Linked DNA regions of Caenorhabditis elegans. The protein of the gene in region 1 interacts with the protein of each later gene in a pairwise test. Each region holds a gene or a part of one and is shown on either strand. Other genes may lie near its edges. The genes, in order: gly-5, ptr-2, prx-19 and dpm-1.

The links.
Region 2: the proteins of gly-5 (region 1) and ptr-2 interact in a two-hybrid assay, tested with the Caenorhabditis elegans proteins (one large-scale study listed by BioGRID).
Region 3: the proteins of gly-5 (region 1) and prx-19 interact in a two-hybrid assay, tested with the Caenorhabditis elegans proteins (one large-scale study listed by BioGRID).
Region 4: the proteins of gly-5 (region 1) and dpm-1 interact in a two-hybrid assay, tested with the Caenorhabditis elegans proteins (one large-scale study listed by BioGRID).

Annotation. Positions count from the first base shown.
Region 1 is NC_003281.10:13,185,501-13,190,393, reverse strand, and holds the start of gly-5 (Polypeptide N-acetylgalactosaminyltransferase 5), read right to left. Parts: upstream 3,003-4,893; 5' UTR 2,944-3,002; intron 2,285-2,943; 5' UTR 2,259-2,284; coding exon 2,151-2,258; intron 2,096-2,150; coding exon 1,832-2,095; intron 267-1,831; coding exon 148-266; intron 1-147. UniProt on the Caenorhabditis elegans protein: Catalyzes the initial reaction in O-linked oligosaccharide biosynthesis, the transfer of an N-acetyl-D-galactosamine residue to a serine or threonine residue on the protein receptor.
Region 2 is NC_003279.8:3,788,760-3,794,510, reverse strand, and holds ptr-2 (SSD domain-containing protein), read left to right. Parts: upstream 1-1,713; 5' UTR 1,714-1,715; coding exon 1,716-2,148; intron 2,149-2,210; coding exon 2,211-2,307; intron 2,308-2,353; coding exon 2,354-2,976; intron 2,977-3,027; coding exon 3,028-3,128; intron 3,129-3,458; coding exon 3,459-4,703; intron 4,704-4,748; coding exon 4,749-4,883; intron 4,884-4,929; coding exon 4,930-5,097; 3' UTR 5,098-5,202; downstream 5,203-5,751. Other genes in the region: rpl-13 (Large ribosomal subunit protein eL13), read right to left, coding at 5,649-5,751.
Region 3 is NC_003281.10:8,806,957-8,811,142, forward strand, and holds prx-19 (Putative peroxisomal biogenesis factor 19), read right to left. Parts: upstream 2,340-4,186; 5' UTR 2,334-2,339; coding exon 2,236-2,333; intron 2,168-2,235; coding exon 1,690-2,167; intron 1,148-1,689; coding exon 875-1,147; 3' UTR 526-874; downstream 1-525. Other genes in the region: F54F2.7 (uncharacterized protein), read right to left, coding at 1-32, 268-390.
Region 4 is NC_003282.8:443,815-448,999, forward strand, and holds dpm-1 (Dolichol-phosphate mannosyltransferase subunit 1), read left to right. Parts: upstream 1-1,862; 5' UTR 1,863-1,868; coding exon 1,869-2,219; intron 2,220-3,823; coding exon 3,824-4,036; intron 4,037-4,276; coding exon 4,277-4,432; 3' UTR 4,433-4,635; downstream 4,636-5,185. Other genes in the region: mrpl-55 (39S ribosomal protein L55, mitochondrial), read left to right, coding at 171-243, 459-586, 661-756, 802-882.

The DNA.
Region 1 (4,893 bases):
CGATTTTTTTAAAAAGAAAATTTTTTGAAAAAATTCGATTTTTCTTCTTTTTTTCCGGAAAATCACAAAAAAACTTCAGTTTTTTAGGGAAATTTAAAAAAATTAATTTTTCGATTTTTATGAATTTTGGAATAAAAAAAAACCCACTCAGCATCAATATTAGTTGGCAAAGTTCGATGTACTGATATCATATCAGATGCGTATTGATTAAAAGCGTTGTTGAGCATTCCCTTGTCGTATTTTGCCTTTTCTTCGGTCGATAGTTTCTGAAAATTAGAAAGAAAATAAAGTTTTTTTTTTTCGTTGATTTTAAAGGCAAAACATCAAAATTTCGAAAAAAAAAGAACTAATTTCCACTAGAATCTTAGATTTTGGGGGCCGAAATCGGCCTAAAATGACCTAGAGTGGCTAAAAAATGATCGCGAATTGGATAAAAATGACTAAAAATTACCCAAAATCACCTAAAAATTACCTAATGTGACCAAAAAAAAAAATGAAAATTCGGCCAAAAATTACTAAAATTTCTAAATTTTGCTAAAAATACCTAAACGGACCAAAAATAATCAGCAGTCGGTTGAAAATGACTACAAATTACCGAAATTGGCCAGGAATGTCGAAAATATTTCATATTTAAAATAACTTGATATTTAAAATATTTTAGACATCATTTTTAATCATTTTTGGCCAATTTTCGAAAATTTCCGAGCACTGAAGTGATTAAAAATGTCTGAAAAATGACCAAATTTGGCCCAAAATAGGCGAAAAATGACCAAAAATGACATAAATATTTAAAATATTAAATATTTTAGAAATTTTTATTCATTTTTGTCCAATTTCAGTCATTTTTGGTGATTTTGGACCAAATTTGGTAATTTTTTAGTCTTTTTTTTAATGACTAAGCATAATCGAAAATCGGCCAAAAATGATTAAAAATGACCGAAAATATGTACCGTATTTCTTCTATTAATATGGCTGCAATAATATTTTTCGATGGTCTTCCGCTTGCAATACTAATAGGGAGTGCAAGACTATTAGGGAGTGCAATACTAATTTTCAGAACATTTTCTGACTTTGAGCTTACTAGTTTTTTTCCTGAAAAAACTCGAATCTTATGTGAAAATTCAGAAAATTTGATTGTAATTGCAACAAAAAGGTACAATAACTTCAATTTCATAGAAATTTTACCAAAATTGTTGCAAAGTAGGCAAAAAATGTTGTTAAAATCTCAAAATTAGTAGGGTGGGTTTGTACCAAAAAAAAAAAGTAGATGCAAGACTATTAGGGAGTGCAACACTAACTGCAATACTAATTTTCGGAGGGTTTTCAAGGAGCAATACTAATAGGGAGTGCAAGTCTAATAGGGAGGCCATATTAATAGAAGAAATACGGTATATTATATACATTTTAATCATTTTCGGCAAATTTCGGTCATTTTTAGTCATTATTGGCCAATTTTCGGCAATTTCCGAGCGCTGAAGTGACTAAAAATTTCTGAAAAATGACCAAATTTGACCAAAAATGATTAAAAATCGGCCAAAAATGACAGAAATTGACCAAAAATGACCAAAAATAACCAAATTTGGCCTAAAATTAACTAAAATTACTTAAAATGATGGAAAATCAGCCAAAAATCAGTAAAAAATGACCGAAATTGCCCTAAAATGATTAAAAATCTATACGGAATATTTTCATTTTTAAAATCATTTTTGGTAATTTTTGGCCAATTTAAGTCATTTTTGGCTCATTTTTTTCGCAATTTTGAGAATTTGAGCACATTTTGAGTCCACAAGTTCAAAGAACCGTTATTCCTCAAGAATAATCAAATTCTCACAGTTTTATCGACGACAACTGCCTTTCCAAGCTCTCCGGCTTGCGCTGCGTCTCCTTTTTTATAAATCGGATCGTTCGGATCGACCATAAATTTTGGTTTGGCCAAGTTCCCGCCGGGTTGCTCTTCTTCTTCCACTTTATTATTCTCTACGACAGGTTCCGGCTCAATCGGCGGCCCAAATCCTTGAATTACGTCTTGTTTCGCGGCTTTCGGGTGGAAATTCGCCTCCGCAATTTTATTCGCGAGATCGTTATTTGATCCGATCTGAAAATGGGATTTTAATCACATTTTTATTTTTTTTATTTTTGATTTTTGATACCTGGCTACTATCATTGCTGGTTGCTGCGAAAAAAATCAACGAGCAAATCCAAAAAACTGGAACCAAGAGGAGAACTTTTAATATCGCCTTTTTCTTGAATATAATCATTTCTCAGCGGCAAAATCGACCCGTATCTGCAAAAAAATTAATTTTTGATTAATTTAATTGGGAAATTTCTCAAAATATTTCGATTCAGCTCAGTAAAAACCAGTAAAAACTAAATTTTTCGACAAAAACTCCAAATAAGGACACATCGTCCACGTGTAGTACACGGGTGGTGACCTAGAAACCGACAACTACGTACTACACGTGGACAAAATCGGTGGAACATGTTTTTGGCAGGAATATGATGGAAAAACTATAATTTTCAGGAAAACTAATAAATAGCAACAAAAAAATCAATAGAAATTCGAAGAAAAATCAATATTTTCTAGTTTGACCTCAAAATGATCAAGTTTTCAATGTTAAAACAGATTTTTTTAGTTAGTTTTTTTCTTTTTTTTTCTTTAATATTGTTTAATATGACACTTTTCAGATTTTTGCGTCAGAAATACAGATCCAGGTCTCGACACGACAAATCCTTGTACTCATTGAAGGTGTGCGCCTTAAAATTAATTTTTCAGCTTTTTGAAATTTACTTTAGATATTTGATAATTTAATAGATTTTCATCGAAAAACTAAAAAATCAATAAAAATTCCGCAAATGAACAAGTTTGAAATTACAGTACTCTTTAAAGGCGCACACCTTTTTTCAAACATTTGTCGTGCCGAGACCCAGGGTACCGTAACCTACCGAAAATCCTCCGTTTTATGCTTCAATATCCCTCAATTTTGATAATATAAGTTTGCTGCCTGAAAAAAAACGAATTAAATTGTGAAAAGTAGTAGTAGTATTGGAAATTCGAGTAAAACAAGGAAATTTATAATGCAAACTTTTTCGGACCCAAGGCATACTGAATTCAAATTCACATTAAAAATTTTAGGTTGACGTGGACAATGACGATGAGCAGCAGCATGCAAGGCATGTTAACGATAATATTTGAACAGTTGGGAAGGGAAGGGAAGAGGGTGTATAAGAAGAGAGCATAGAACAGAACCACTATCTTTTTTAGCTTCTCTAATACCTCTTACTCTCTCTCTCTCACACTATATTTACTTTTTTCGGTGGTTTCGGTCAAGTTCAAATGTGCTCGAGAACTGTAATGTTTCAAGTTCGCAATGAGTCACGATTTCGATTTTCCGTGTATCCTAGAAATTTTGTGAGAGAAATAGTTTTAAATGACTCCCTGATTCCGAATATCTAAGTGAAAAAATTCTAAAAAATTTCCCTGATATTATATTTCAGCTTAAAATCGCGATGTGTCGATTTACGAGATTTTCAATATCTTCATTTTCGTCGCTTTTTTCCAAAGTTTCGTTTTTTAAGGTCAATTAAATATTATTTTGCCAAAAAACTAACAAAATTTCCATTTCTTAGGTCAAAACTCGACGAATTCCACGGAATTCTGGCTGTTTGCCGAACTAGGCCATTTTGGGTCGGAGAGATTTTGTGTAGATTTACGGCGCGTTGCGTGTCGCGTCGCGGCTCGTTTTAGTTGTAAAACTGAAGTTTGCTGTCCGTGAGGAGTACACGACACTTTTCCACGCGCTGTCCGGCAGGCGATTATCAATGGAGCGCGAAAATTCAATGAGAAATGCCCAGAACCCCGTGGACGAAAAATCCAAATATATGCTTTTCCCGCCTAAAAATCACAAATTTTGTTAGTTTTTTTAATGATATAACAAAAAAAGTGACCTTAAAAAAAGCACAGTTTTTTTTTTCACTTAAATATCGGAATCAGGGAGTCATTTTAAAATTGTTCTAAAAAGATTTCGATACTCCACATTATAAAATTTTTTACGTCAAAAACATCATTTCCCCCTTATCATCCATCTTACCATTCACACCCATTTTGCTCAAACAGACGCCCACGCCCTTTGCATACTTCTCAAATGGAAACTTCTATTGATAGTGAACCCAGAAGACAAAAGAGAAACGTGGTCATAACTGGGGGGAGTTGTTTGCTGGTTAGAAGAGCCCCGGACGTGCTCAATTGAGCATGACGAATAGGTTGGAGAAGAGAATGTCAGAGACACCTACTTGTAGTGAGAGGGGAACGAAAATGTCTATAGGCTAGGCTAAACTACAAATCATCTTATTTTTTCGATTAATGAAGAAAAAAAATATTTCGAAAAGGGCTTATGTTTGCAATTTTACTACAAAAATTCTGGAATTTCTAGGAAAAATGAGAACGCGAAAAAAAATTATTTGAAAAATTCATTTGGCGCGGTGAGACCCTTTCCAAAATTACTTTGTGCGAGCGCCTTTAAATTGATCTTAGAAAAATTGTTATTGTTTTCTTATAGTTACTAAGTAAGTAAGTAAGTTCTACTCGGTCACAAATTAGCTATAAAAATCTGTAAATTATAAGAAAATTTGAAAAAAAAACATTATACAGTAATCTTAAAGGTGCATACACAATTTTAATTCGAATTCCCGCCGAAATTTTTCTGAAGAAATTTGAATTCCCGCCAAATTTTTTCCATAGTAATTTGAATTCCCGCAAAAATTTTTCCATAGAAATTTGAATTCCCGCCAAAATGTTTCTAGAGATATTCTAATTCCGCACGTGGTGTTAAAGTGTCTTATTTTGGTTCGATCTACAAAAATGCGGGAGAAGAGACGCAGACTTTTCAATTAATT
Region 2 (5,751 bases), on another chromosome or scaffold:
ATGAAAATTAACAAATCTGTGAACTTTGGCATTTGTAGCGATCTCTATGACTGAGATCGTGACGAGACCCACTCAAAAAATCCCATGTGCTTTTGAAATTGCCAATTTTTAGCAAAATTACGATATTTCGGGAGCACAAAAATCTGAGAATGTGTATTGCGTAAAATATCTCGTAGCGAAAACTACAGTAAGTCTTTGAATGACTACTGTAGGGCTTGTGTCGATTTACGGGCTCGATTTTCGATATTAAATAATTTATTTTCCCTAGATTTTCTCAAATTTTTTTTCTCAAATTTGTTATTCAGTCGATAAATATAGAGCTCGTGAATCGACACAAGCGCTACAGTAATCATTCAAAGAATTACTGTAGTTTTCGCTACGAGATATTTTGCACGTCAAATATGTTGTGCAGTACGCATTTTCAGAATTTTTTGTTCCCATAATATCTATATTTTTCTCAATAACGTTGTTCAAATATCCTACTCAATGTAAATGTTTTTCATTCAATTTGATTCCATTCTCGACTTAACGACTCTTAACCCATTTCTTTTCGTCTTCAGAACCCTATTTACAAATTTGATTGCTTTAGGAGATATTTTTGTAAAACAGATATAGAAAAAAGTGACGTAAGAATTTGTTTAATGTTTTTTCGCGGCGCAATCTAGAATCTTCATCCAAGCTTCATCGAAAGTTTCCCAAAGTTCAAAACTTTAAAGAAAAATAAGTGGACTGCAGGCTTCTTCAATTTAGACAATTAAATATTTTCCCTTCAAGACGAATTACTTTCTCGAAATTTTCTACCAATAATCCATGCCAGACAGGCGCGAAAAATGGACCGGTATCGCTGCTGTTGCATTTAGAGGCGAACATCATCATGCCGAAAGTCGAATTTATCCCTCTCTTTTCTCTGTCTCCCTTTCTTATTCCCCTCACAGCTTTCACCCTCATCTGATGACACAACCGCAGAAGAAAGACCGGTATCCGCCTCTCCGATGACGCACGCGGACAGCGGAGATCGTCTTCTGACTGCAGCAAATCGACTGCTTGATTTCTTATATTTATTTCGTCTTGATCTATTATTTTGATCTACTCCTGTTGGTTTTGTCTTGTCTTCGGCGGTCAAATTTGGGTTTCGTGAGCGAACCACAAGATGTTTTAAAGTTTCCTCGTATTTCTTTTCTGTGATTTTCAATTTTTTTTTTCGAAATTTCAGAGCGTGTTCACATTTAAAGCAGTTGTAAAATGAAAACAAAAGTTTGCAGAAATTATTAATTCATTAATTTTCTTGTTTTTTGTGATTTTGTCTATTTAATAACGGCATTTTTCAAAATTAAAATTAATTTTTAAATTTAATTTAAATTCCTTGTCTAAACTTCACCATGACGAAAAAATGCACACAATCTGCATTTCCGGGTTACTGTAGTCATTTTTTCTTCTCAACTTTTTGTTTTAATTTTCTCCAATAATTCCTTCATTTTAGTTCATCTTTCTCATTTTTCTGTACCGGGCCACCTGCCAATAATTATTTCCGGATAAATACTGTGTAGCCTGTGTAGTCTGTAGTTTGTAGCCCACTATAAAACAGTGCGAGTCAGTCTTTCTTCCTTTCTTCCTTCCCTCGATTAAATCTCCTCTGCATTTTTATCTCACTCTCTTAATTTTTATTGTTTCTTTCTAATAATCGCCAAAATACTCTAATTTATTAATTTTCAGAAATGGCATGGGACTGTGTGGAGCGGCGTGCGGCGTCGCTGTTCCGACAGCTCGGATTCCTGATCTGTGACCATCCGCTTCCATTTTTCGTCTTCCCGCTACTCTTCACCGCCGCAATGGGAGTCGGACTTCTCCACCTGAATCCACTCTCCGACGCCGTTTACCTCTTCACACCACTCGGCGCTCAGAGCAAGATGGAACGAATGTCGATTCATGAGAAATGGCCACTCACCGACAATAATTATATTCCGGGACGAGCTGTGACGCAAAGTCGAGAAATTCAAGTCACAGCGCTTGCTCGCAACGATTCGAATATTCTTGATCCAAAATTTGCGAACGCAGTCTATCAACTCGACAAATATATTCAAACAAGAGTTCGTGTCCTTCACAATGGCCACTATTACAGCTACAAAAACCTGTGCCTACAGTATAAAAGTTAGTATTGCTCGAGAGTGTCATCATTTCCGGAAAAATTTCCTAATTTTCATATTTTTCAGATGGCGGTTGCCCTTCTAACAAGCATGTACATATTCTTTCCGACCTACACAATCATGGCTTCAATATTACTTACCCCTATTTTCGATTCGGATCAGAGTATGTTCAGATATTTTTTTTTCCAATTTTTGTTCGTATTTTCCAGAGGAGGATATATCGGAAGCAGTCTCGGAGGCGTCACTGTAATGAAAGGAGAAAATGAGACAGATATCCTTGCATCAGCGAAAGCCTGGTTCATGATCTATCATCTGAAGTTTCACCCAGAAGAAATGAGCTATATTTCGGGAGAATGGGAGCTAGAACTCGGCAGAATGCTCACCCAGTATCCAGAAGATCCATACATCTCTATCACCTACTTCCACTCTCAAACTCTAGCAGATGAGCTTAAGAGAAATGCGGATACACTGATTCCTCGCTTCATAATCTCCATCACCCTTCTCATCGTTTTCTCAACACTTTGCTCGCTGAGCTTCATCGACGGATCGTTCTCAATCGATTGGGTTCTCTCTAAACCGATTCTTTCCATTCTCGGAGTGGTCAGTGCTGGAATCGCTATTCTCACTGGCGTCGGATTCTTGTCATTGATGGGAATGCCATACAATGACATTGTTGGTGTCATGCCATTCCTCGTGCTCGCTGTTGGAGTTGATAATATGTTTTTGATGGTAGCAGCTGTGAGACGAACGTCTAGAACGCATACAGTGCACGAACGAATGGGAGAATGTTTGGCAGATGCTGCAGTTTCGATTCTTATCACGTCTAGCACAGGTAGCCCTAATTGAAATTGAATATTTATTCACAATCTTAATATTTTTTCAGATGTTCTTTCCTTTGGAGTCGGCGCCATCACAACTATTCCAGCCGTTCAAATATTCTGTGTATACACTGGAGTCGCAATTTTCTTTGCATTTATATATCAGGTGCTTATAATACCAAGATTCGATTTTTGTTCCGAAAATACAGTACCCGGTCTCGACACATTTCGTCAAAAAACTCATTTAAACCATTAGAAAATAGCAGAATTAATGAATAAAATCACAAAAATTTGAAAAAAAAATGAAAAAAGTTATCTTTAAAGAAGTGCATGTTTTTGAATTTGAAGACAAAAATTGTCGTGGTGAGACCTGGCACCAAATTCGCAAAATTTCGCGTCCGGGTAATATTTCCACGTGGCGAATTTCTGCTAACACACAAAAATCGTTTTTTTCAGGACCAAAATTTTGCGTCTCAATAATAATCGCTGTTTTCAGATCACATTCTTTGCCGCATGCCTAGCACTGGCTATGAAACACGAAGCATCCGGCCGAAATTCCCTCTTTCTCATCGAAGCTGTATCTGCCGAAAAGAAGACATCCCTGAGCACATTCCAACGATTATTCAATCTCGGAAGTGTGCCCGATCATTCTGCATCACACGATGTCAAACAACCACTGACCTCTCGTTTCTTCGGAGAATGGTATGCTCCAGTTCTGATGCATCCTGTGGTTCGTGGAATTGCAATGGTTTGGTTTGTGATCTATCTGCTCGGCGCCAGCTATGGATGCTCTCGTATCAAGGAAGGATTGGAGCCAGTTAATTTATTGGTTGAGGACTCGTATGCTATTCCACATTATCGACTTTTAGAGAAATATTTTTGGAAATACGGACAACAAGTGCAAATTGTGATAAATAATGCTCCCGATCTTAGAAATCATACATCTCGTGATCGAGTTCATGCAATGGTGCTTGACTTTGCGACAAGTAAGCATGCGATTGGAATGGAATCTGTGCAGTTTTGGTTATTCGAAATGGAGAGATATTATCAAAAAGAGTTGGAAGTTCAAATTATTGATTCCTCATTTTATGGCCTTCTTCACCATTTCCTAGCTTCCAAAACCAATAATCCATTGGCAGAGGATATCTACTGGGGACCAATGCCTGATGATGATAATGGAACGATGGTCAAAAGCTTCCGGTTTATTCTAGGAATGAAGGATTTAGTGACAACAATGGACCAAACCGACGCTACAATGTCATTTAGAGAGGTCGCTGCTCGATGGCCGGAGTTCAATGTGACCACTTTTATGCCAATATGGATGTTCACTGATCAGTACATTATAATTATTCCGAACACTGTTCAAAACATTATTATTGCACTTTTGGTGATGATCGTCATTGCCGTTCTCTTCATTCCACAGCCAATGTGCTCACTTTGGGTGGCTCTCGCTTGTGCTTCCATCGATTTTGGAGTGATTGGATACATGACGCTATGGGGAGTGAATCTGGATGCTATATCAATGATCACAATTATCATGTCAATTGGGTTCTCCGTCGATTATTCTGCACACATTGCATATGGCTATGTCGTATCCAGAGAAGATACAGCAGCTGGTAGAGTGAAAGAAGCACTATCAGCTCTTGGATGGCCACTGTCTCAGGGAGCTATGTCTACAATTATCGCGGTTTCAGTTCTTGCCGATATTCCAGCATATATGATAGTTACTTTTTTCAAAACGGTAATTCTTTTCAATTTTTTTATTCTTTAACTTTTCTATTTTCAGGTCGTTCTCTCAATTTCTCTCGGTCTTCTCCATGGTCTTGTTTTCCTTCCAGTATTGCTCTCAATATTCGTACGTGGATGTTGCATAATCCCTAGCTCACCGCATGGTCATCCCAGCGCTCAAAAAATCGAAAAGGTTTGATCTGAAATTATCACTACATTCTCATTTTCCCATATTTCAGCAAATCAGGATCGCCGCTATCTCGTCTAGTCCACTCGATTTGCGAACCGTTGCTCCGCTCCGCGCCTCGTCACCAATCAGCTTCCCGCATAGGCTTGAGTACACCGATGAATCTCCAACTGTACACAACAGATCAAAGAATTCTATTAAATCCGAGCACCTAGACTAGTCTTTCTTCCAATGACTCTCATTAACTAATTGAATACGTGTATTTGTAGAATATTGTGAATGTTCTACGTTGTTTTTAAATATATGTGAATGAATATCTTAATTGAAATTTTAAATATTATTAACTCTCGAAACATTATCAGTGAGTCTAGAATGGGAAGGAGACATTTTTAGAACAAATCGGTCAAAAATAAGAAAACGGATAATTGGATATTTAAGCCAACAGCCACCTATTTCTCAGTGCTACAAATTTTTACCAAAAGCTGAGGATTAATATGCGTTTCTTGAAATTAAACTTTAATATTTTTCAAGTAGCGAATAAAATCACAATGAAAACCTAAACTAATAGTAAGCGACAGAATTTTTAAGATTTACAATCGGAAACTCAAAATCAACTTTCCCGTTCTGATGTTTCACTTTTGACCATAAGTTTTCAAATAAAAACTTAAACTAGACGTATTGTATTTTAGAATATTATTTGCATTTCGTTTGTTCGTTGGTAAGTCACTGTTAACTTTCATAACAAGTTTATGAACAGAGAAAATCAACAATTTACTTATTCTCCTCAGCGGCCTCTCTGGCTCTCTTCTCACGCTTTCCACGGTATTTCTTGTCAGCACGCTCCTTGCGGAGAAGTCTGAAGATCTCGACCTTG
Region 3 (4,186 bases), 4.4 Mb from region 1:
AAATCCACTTCGACAACTTCACTTTCAGGAATCTAAACATTTTGAATTGTTTTCTATACATATAATAAAAAAATTTTCTTTATAAAATGTATTTTTTGCAAAACAGATAAATTCACACTTTTCCGTATGTAGTTCGCAAATCTTAGTAAATCGGCATGTATCAAACCGCACCAGGCCTGTTTTAATAGAATATTCAAATTTTTCGCCGAATTTTTCCGGGGTGAGATCTGTATGCGCCTTTAAGTGTGCCTTTCAGAAAAATCTCACATTTCGAAGAACGACAACGGTGACACCACTTGGATGATGAAGATATGCAATATTATCATAAAGTTCCGAACTTTTTCTTGAATAAATTCGATCGACTACAGAAGCATATGAGTGTCCAGACATCTGAAATATTTAATTGAAAGCAAATTTATTTTCTAAAAATATGATATTTGTAGTCTCATTAATGATAGATAAATTTCTGATTCTGAAAAATATCAATTACAGTTAATTGTGATCATCAAGTGTTCAAAGGGAATTCAAATTCATAAATCTTTATTGATTTGAAACATGTTTGGATATAAGGAAAAGACTGTAATTTGGAAAATAATTTGGCCACACACTTGAAAAGCGAACTTTAAAAGAAAAATCTATTCGTTGAAGCATAACAAAAAAAACAAAAAAAAACCAAACTAGTAACTGACTTAGAAAATGTGGAAAATAACTGAGGACACTTATTGCTACACTGGGGAAGAGACATTTCTATTCAGGGATTATCATATTGAAGAGTTGATGGGAAACAGTTATGTTTTTTAAACACAAAAGTTTATTTTTTCTAAAATTCTATTTCTTTGGCTTCAATTTGATATAACAACATAGTTAATAGTATTCACATAATTGAGCACGCTTCAGTTGCTGCTGCAGCATCGGCAACTTTCGGAAGACCAGACTCATCAATTTGCCATCCATCTGGAAGTGCTCCAACAAGTTCTTTTGGTGGATATCCGTATTGTTGGAGCTCGACGAGCAACTTTCCAAGCTTCTCAAAATGTTCGATAGATGCTGGATCCGCTTCGGGAGCAGGTTGAGTGGCTGCGTCTACAGGTTGAACTTCGGCCAATTCTGGTTGTTTTTCGAATTCTGTGCAGATTTTTCCAAGAACCTGAAAAATAGTAAATTTTGGGAGAAATATTACTTGTTCACAGCTTTTAGAAAAAAAATTTTTTTAGAAAATTTTTTTTTAAAGAAAAAAAAAACATTGAGTAAAGTGACACTATTGTTTGTCATTTGGGCAAAAAAAAAATTTAAAAATACATATATTTTTTTTACGTTTTTGCACTAAAATTTCGAATAGCTGAATTATTTTTGAATTCCCGCACAAAATCATATTTTTGAATATTTTGAGTTAGGTTTTTCTTTAACTATTGAATTGAAATAATTTTTTTTCAACATTTCAGAAATTTTCTGCAACAGTTGAAAATAATGCTTAATTATAGATTTGTATTTTAAATATTTTTCGGTTTTTGTTTCAAAGAATTCGTCGAAAAATTTGAGAAATTGTGTTTCAAGTCAATAAATAGAAAGAAAACCAATAAATATAGCCGGAAAACACGAACATTTCGAAATTGGTCATTTTTCGTCGTGCGAGAATACAAAAATAATTTGGCTTTTTCTATATTTTTGTTGCAAATGTGAGAAAATAACCTCGAATTGTTTCTCATATCGTTCCTTTGTTTCAGCATCTAAACCAGCACCGTTATCCTCCAAATACTTTGGATAGTTATCGAAAATTTCTTTAAGTGGGGGATACATGACTTCTTTTGAAGCTAGAGTTTGCATAATCATGCTCATAAATGGCTCCATTGGAGAATTTGGAGAACGTAACATATCAAGACCAGCCATAAATTCTTCTGGGTTGCTAGCATTTGCAACATTTGATGAGCATTCCATAAGTTGTTTTAATGCATCCATCATTGCAAGAGCTTCTGGATCATTTGGATCAAGTGGCTGTTCTCCTTCTCCTTCTGATGGATCTGCTCCAGCTTTTTTCATGGCTTCTTCTTGCAGAGTCACCATTTGTTCGAGCATTTTCTGGAAGTCTTTCGCAGCTTTTTGTGCAGCTTCTTGATCAGCTGAAGCCATCAGTTCATCGAGTTCATCATCTGTTGTACGTGGTTTTGGTCTGAAAAATAAAACGGATGAGAAACTAAAACTTTTTTACTTTAGGCTTAAAAAACATTTAAAACTTACGCTGGTGTCGCCGTGAATTCTCCCAAAGTTTGATCAAGCAAAGCGGCAAGCTCTTCCTCTGTTTTGTCTTTAATATTTTGGGTTGTTTCGTCAGTCATCTTTTTCTGAAAAAGAGGCAAAATAAAAAGTCGAAAGAGTGAGGCGGTGAGAAGAAAAGGGGGAAATAAGTGAAAAGGAGAAATGCGGGGGTACTTTTGGATCGATAAAACACACAATCGGTGAACACACGGGAGGTTGTGTTCTTATCAAATAAAAACAAATGGGTACAGTGTACTATTTATGTGTTCAGATTTATCGATAAGGATCATATGTTAAAATTGCTATGATTATTAAAAAAATCGAATGGCAAGGTCGCAATGTTTTCAGATTTCGGTGGGATCCATAGTAAGCTACTTAAAAATCGAATGACATTCTTTTTCTGTCATAAAATTACTTTAAAAATCAATAAAATCAACTTAAATTCAAAAATATACTGAAAATTAAATAAAAGCGCTGAAAAATTCTAGTTTCGTTCACAAATTACATCACGGAAAAGTTTTTATCTACGGAGCGCGCTTGCGACAGTTGTTGGCGGTAGTTCAAATTCGAATGCCTGCTCGTCGTTTCTTGTTTAAACCGCTGCGCAATCAGTTGTTTGCAAAAGGACAACTGCTTCTCGGTAGGAGATTTACACAAATCTAGTGTAATACACATATGTTGGGGTTGTTGAAAAATATATGAAGGAGTTCATACGTTGACGACGTGTGGTATAGTTAATCAAAAGATTTACCATATTTTCAGGCAAATAAGAACGCTCCGCCCATATAGTTTGGGTCTCATTAGGTTTTGGCGGCAAAACCGAGAATAAAAACGTTTTCAATTATTTTGCCAATTTTTTAAGCATTTCTGGCAGTTTTCTAAATTTTTTGGCCCATGATCCAAGGGTACATCGAATTGAGGGTACATTTGTTCTCGGGGTACATTCGAGCAAAGGGTACAATCATTCTTAGGGTACATCCAACGGTTTGTTCAGAGGGTACATCCATGGGATTTTCATAGGGTACATCGGCACTATGTTCCAAGGGTACATCCAATTTTCAAGGGGTTCAACGGAAATTTATAACTGAAATTTCTTAGAGTTGTGATTTCTCATAATCATTTTTGCATATTATCACTTTTTTTCTTTTTTTAACTGCCGTATTGAAAAATTCGAATTAAACCATTGTTTTGTAATTCATAAAATTGAAATCAAGAAACAAAACAATGGTTTAATTCCGAATTTTTCAATATCGACAGTAAAAAAACCGAAAAAAAGTCGATAATATGCGAAAATGATTATGAGAAATCACAACTCTAAGAAATTTCAGTTATAAATTTCCGTTGAACCCCTTGAAAATTGGATGTACCCTTGGAACATAGTGCCGATGTACCCTATGAAAATCCCATGGATGTACCCTCTGAACAAACAGGTGGATGTACCCTAAGAATGATTGTACCCTTTGCTCGAATGTACCCCAAGAACGAAAAATCGCTCGATGTACCCTATTCCGATGTACCCTCGGATCATGGGCCAAATTTTTTTGTTATTCTAATTATTTTATGTTACACTTCATTCACGTTTTATCTTGAAACAAATTGTTAAAACACCAATACCTAACAAGACCCATTTGGCGTTGGAGATTACACTCATATTTCAAAATACGCATATTTTAAGTCCCCATAACAACATTGAAAAAATTACATTAGGATAAACTTTTCCCAAAGTTTTAACTGAAAATTCAGATTACTATAATTCGAAGTTCAAACAAATCTTCATTATCTGGTTGTATATCAATATCTCATTCACCATATGCTCTTTCAAACCAAGAAAAGGGCGGAGGAGGGCGCCCATGTGAATTCCCGAGAGGGTGTGTCCTTTTCTCCCACTTCTTCTTCACTTTTTGATTTTATCTCTTTGAGTAGCACCATAGTC
Region 4 (5,185 bases), on another chromosome or scaffold:
TTTTAATTTTATTTGCATTTGCCGCGTAAGTGACACGAAAAGTGAGCGCCGCAAACGCGCTCCGCTGAGAATTTGTTTGTGCACTCCTCTCGAATAAGTCAAAAATACACGTCTTTATTAAAACTTATTGATTTTTCAGTGTATTCCTGTGATTTTTCTTGAATTTCTAAATGTTTTTGCAGATGAACACTCAAATTTCCATGCGAAACTTGCTAACAAGCTGCTCAAAAGCCATCACAGCAGGTTAGTAAAGGAAAAAGGTCGAAAAATATCATTTGAAGGTTATTTTCAAAAAAAAAACGTGGCAGAACATTTTTCGTACAACATTTTTCATGTGAAAATTGCAATTACTATTATTTCCATTCATTTCTCCTCAAAATCAGACTTTTTATAAACCATTTCCCCCTTCCTCTCCCTAAATCAAAATCACTATTCCCGCGTGAATTTCACATTTTCAGAGAGAAATAATGCGTGGAGAGCAAGTTTGGGAAAAATCAGCCGTCGAGACTACTTGCATCGGTACCAAGTTAAATTTATCCGTCCGGATGGTTCGACAATCATGGTTCCCGCCGCTGAACCGAGACAGGTTGCTTTTTGAAAAATACATATTTAATTGCAGTTTTTATATTTAATCAGTTTTTTAATTGTACATATTTTCAGACATTCCAATCTGCCGTCGACCTCAAACAGTTGAGCGAGGATGAACGACGACAACGGCTGGCTGCTCGTAAACCAAAAGCCAAGATCACAAAAACAGTAATTATATAATTAACGATTTCAAATTAAAAATGGTTTTTTCAGGAAGTTATCGATGACACCTTCGATGAGTCGGAGTATATGAAGTTTTGGTCGGCACCCGGGCAGAAATCCACGAAAAAATAAGAAAAATCTCGTTATTAGCATGTAGTATTTCTTTTTTTTTGTTAGATTTTTTGTTTTCGTTATATTTACTATGAATATCGACTTTATTCTCGATCTGATTAATATTGATTTGTGCGTTTAGTCGCAATTTTATATCAATTATCTCTATTTCACTAGGGAACCCCGTAACAGCTTGGTGGATAGGAAACCAAGAAGTTTGTGGAGGAAAATCGAGTTTCCGGTCGAAATTAGCTTGAAAATACTAATATGCTAAAAACCTCTAAAAACCTCATTTTTCAGCGATAAACGCCGAATTTTCAGCCATTTTCCGAGAAAAACGCGAATTTTCGGGTAAAAAACCCGATCTCAGAACGAATTTGACTTCAAAAATGGAAAAATGCGATAAGAAGCGTGAAGTTTCACTGAAAACTCTTAATTTCAACGTTTTTTACTCAAAAAATCGTATTTCTGGCTCAAAAACAGTGAAATTTATCATTTTTTTTCTGTGAAAAAATCGATTGGGGGGACCAATAAAAGGTACATTTTTGTGACCCACTGACCGAAAATGTACTTTAATCAAAGAATAAGCGCGTAGTAAAGGACCATAATATTTATTAAAGATTGATAATTGAATAAAAATTTAGTTCCAGACGGTGTCACACCGAGAAGGTGGAAAAATGTGATTTTAGCTGAAAATGAGCTTTTTCTAAAACTTTGACCCATAACTTTTTTTTGAGAAAATTTCAAAACTTCTCATTACGAAATTCGGTAGTTTTGAATCATTTGGTTCTAAAAAGCAAAGTCTTAGATTTCGGTACTCCAACTTTAATTTTCAGTGACACTAGTGTTTTTAAGACTTTGAGACCGATTAATTTTGTTTTGATTTCGAGTAGCCAGTATTTAACACAAGCTTCCGATTGGTATACTTTTTGTTTCTCTTATTCACCAAGTTTTTACAGGGATCCCTAGTCAGATTATTCAAAAGGAATTTTATGTTTCAGATTATTATGACATCCACTCCGAAATATTCGATAATTCTGCCAACCTACAACGAAAAAGAAAATTTGCCGATTTGCATTTGGTTAATTGAAAATTATCTGAAAGAAGTTTCACATGAAGTGATTATCGTTGACGATGCATCACCAGACGGTACTCAAGGCATTGCAAAACTTCTTCAAAAGGAGTACGGAGACGATAAGATTCTGATCAAGCCACGAGTTGGAAAACTTGGACTTGGTACAGCCTATTCACATGGATTATCGTTTGCACGTGGAGAATTTATCATTCTTATGGACGCAGATCTTTCTCATCATCCAAAATTCATTCCGGAAATGATTGCGCTTCAACATAAGTATAAGGTATACATTATTCGTACATTTTTTCTAAAAATTGTTAAAAAAACAGAACTTTTTTAAATTTCAAAATTTATAGGTGTACAAATGTTATTTTAGTTAAATAATAGTTAATTTGATGAAAGTTTTCCAATTTGAGAAAAATATGGCAAGAACTTATTATGCAACGTTAAGCATTTAAAATTTATATAGAAATGTAGAACACAGCATGTTCTATCTGAAAATAACATATATTTCTGTTAAAAAATTGAAAAAAGTCCTCAAATAGTACCTGAAAATTGTCGTTTGACGAAAAGGTGCCGTTAAAAGTTTTTTCGGCAAACTGTAACTTTCAGGCACAGTTGGATCAGGGGTGTGCTGATAATATCCGATTCACTATCAGCCGAATTTCTGCCAGTTTAGCTAATTTAAACTTTAAGTTATCCGGTAGCCGATGTTGGCCGATCTTAGCCCAATTTCCCGGTCTGCTAATTTCACTAACACATTTTTTTTTGGAAAAAATGTTGGGGTTTTATATGATTTTTTCTATTTGAACAGTCGTTCATCACTGAATTTGCTAAAAAATAGTGAACATCACCGCAACTTTTTTCGAACGAGGGCCGAGAAAAAATGCGAAAAATCGGTGTTTGCACACAAAACACCGCATTTTACGACATTTTGTACTTGCTTTGTTTTCTCTTGTTTTTCACCAATTTTTCCCGTGTTTTCTTATCAAAACTGATAAATAAATTTTTTTGCTAATGCTAAAATAATTTCCAGATGAAAAAATATGTATTCAGTCGGCAAGTAGCGGTGAAAGTCGTCAATGTAATATGATGGATTACGGGAATACAAAACCCAAACTTTTTCCCAAACATGATACATATGCTGCTCTGATGCTGAAACTACCTGATTTTCATAACGAGACCGCTGAAAAAGTTTTGAGGTTTTCAAAATTCAACTTTTTGTGCGAAAATCTCTACTTTTTCACCAAAAAAGTTGAATTTTGAAAGCCTCAAAACTTTTTCAGTGGTCTCGTTATGAAAATCAGGTAGTTTCAGCATCAGAGCAGCATATGTATCATGTGTGGGAAAAAGTTTGGGTTTTGTGTTCCCGTAATCCATCATATTACATTGACCACTTTCACCGTTACTTACAGACTCAATACACAATTTTTTCACTTGGAAATTGTTTTAGCATCTGCAAAAAATATTTATTTATTAGTATTAATAAGAAAAAATGGGGAAAATTGGTGAAAAACGAAAGAAAACACGCGGAAAACAAAGCAACATAAATGGCCGCTGAAACTTGTCGGGGACTCGGCCATGGCCTAGAAACCTTTTTGCCTCGTCCCTCGTTCGAAAAAAGTTGTAGTGAATAGCCGTTAGCCGGCTTCAAAAAAGTCGGCATTAGCCGATCTATCTGTTAGCCGAAAAAGTCGGTTATCCGCACACCCCTGATTATCATGTTGAAATGCGCCAGTTTTGTGCGTTTGCCGAAAATAATGTCTCACCTAATATCAAGTTTCCGATAATAGAGGACATAATATTACATTTAAAAAACCATCACATTTATATCAACACAATGCCTTTTTTAAGCATAAAAATACAATTTTTTTATTTATTTTTCAGCTCGACATCGTGACAGGAACACGCTACAAGGACGGAGGTGGTGTTAGTGGATGGGATTTGAAGAGGAAGACGATCAGCAAGGGAGCCAATTTTTTGGCTCAGTTTCTGCTGAATCCAGGTGTATCTGATTTAACAGGATCATTTCGTCTTTATAAGAGAGATATTCTGTCGAAGTTGATTGCTGAAAGTGTAAGCAAAGGATACGTTTTTCAGGTGAATATAGGTTTAAATTTTGAAAAATAAAGATATTTCTGCAACTCGTGCACACCATTTACCAAAAACCGGAGCCAATGAAAAAAGGTTTTTATTGATCAAGAAACAGAAATGCAATCAAAACTTAAGCTTATTCTGAGGCTCTTCGAAAATTCAAAGTTAAATATATATAAAGAAGATTTTTTAATAACAAAATACTGTGAAAAAGATTTTTTAATGTTTTTAAAATCCGAATTGCAGATGGAAATGATGTTTCGAGCGAAAAAATCGGGTTATCGTATTGGGGAGGTACCAATCTCATTCGTCGATCGATTCTTTGGAGAATCAAAGCTCGGAAGTCAGGAAATCGTGGATTACGCAAAAGGACTTCTCTATCTGTTTGCATTTGTTTGGTAGATTCTGTGATATAATTTGTATTCATTTTACTATTTTTAATTTAAATTTTAAGAATTAAAATTTCTGAGAGTTTTATAGCCAGAGCGCTTCATTGTACGTTTTCCAAATTTTTTTATTATGACCTTGGGGATTCCTATTTATATTGTTTCCAAACATTCTTGTTTAAATTATATTTTTTCTTCGAATAAATCGTTATAATATTTTTTAAGATGCCAACAAAATTGGAAACAATTTGTGCACAAATGTTCTGGTTGGCTAAGTGTCAAGTTGCCGAATAATTAAAGCTCGGCAAATGCCGAAAAATAGAAGAAATATGTATCCAATTTTCAAAAAGAGATTAAAATTTTCAGATTATCCAGTGTTGGGAGTTAAAAATGTTATATTTTTGTACCAATATCTCGGCAAATCGGTCCAGTTTTCCAGGGCGCTTTCAACGTCTTTCAACGACTACCCCCGAGCTGTGAATTGTGCCCTGGAAAGCTGGCGATGAGCGGCAAACTCCAGAAAAAAAAGTGGGTGTGTGTGCCGCACACTGCCGTACTCTGTTGCACATTTCTGTGCATTTCTGAGTCACTATTTTTGGTGAACGGCCAGAGTCACTATATTTGGTGAACGGCCCAAATATAGTGACTCTGGCCGTTCACCAAGAACAGTGACTGTCTCGGTAGACGTATGCGCACATTCCGCGCACCTTCCGCGCACATTCTGCGCACATTGGTTTTTGTGTGTTTTTCATCCAGAAATCATGCATTC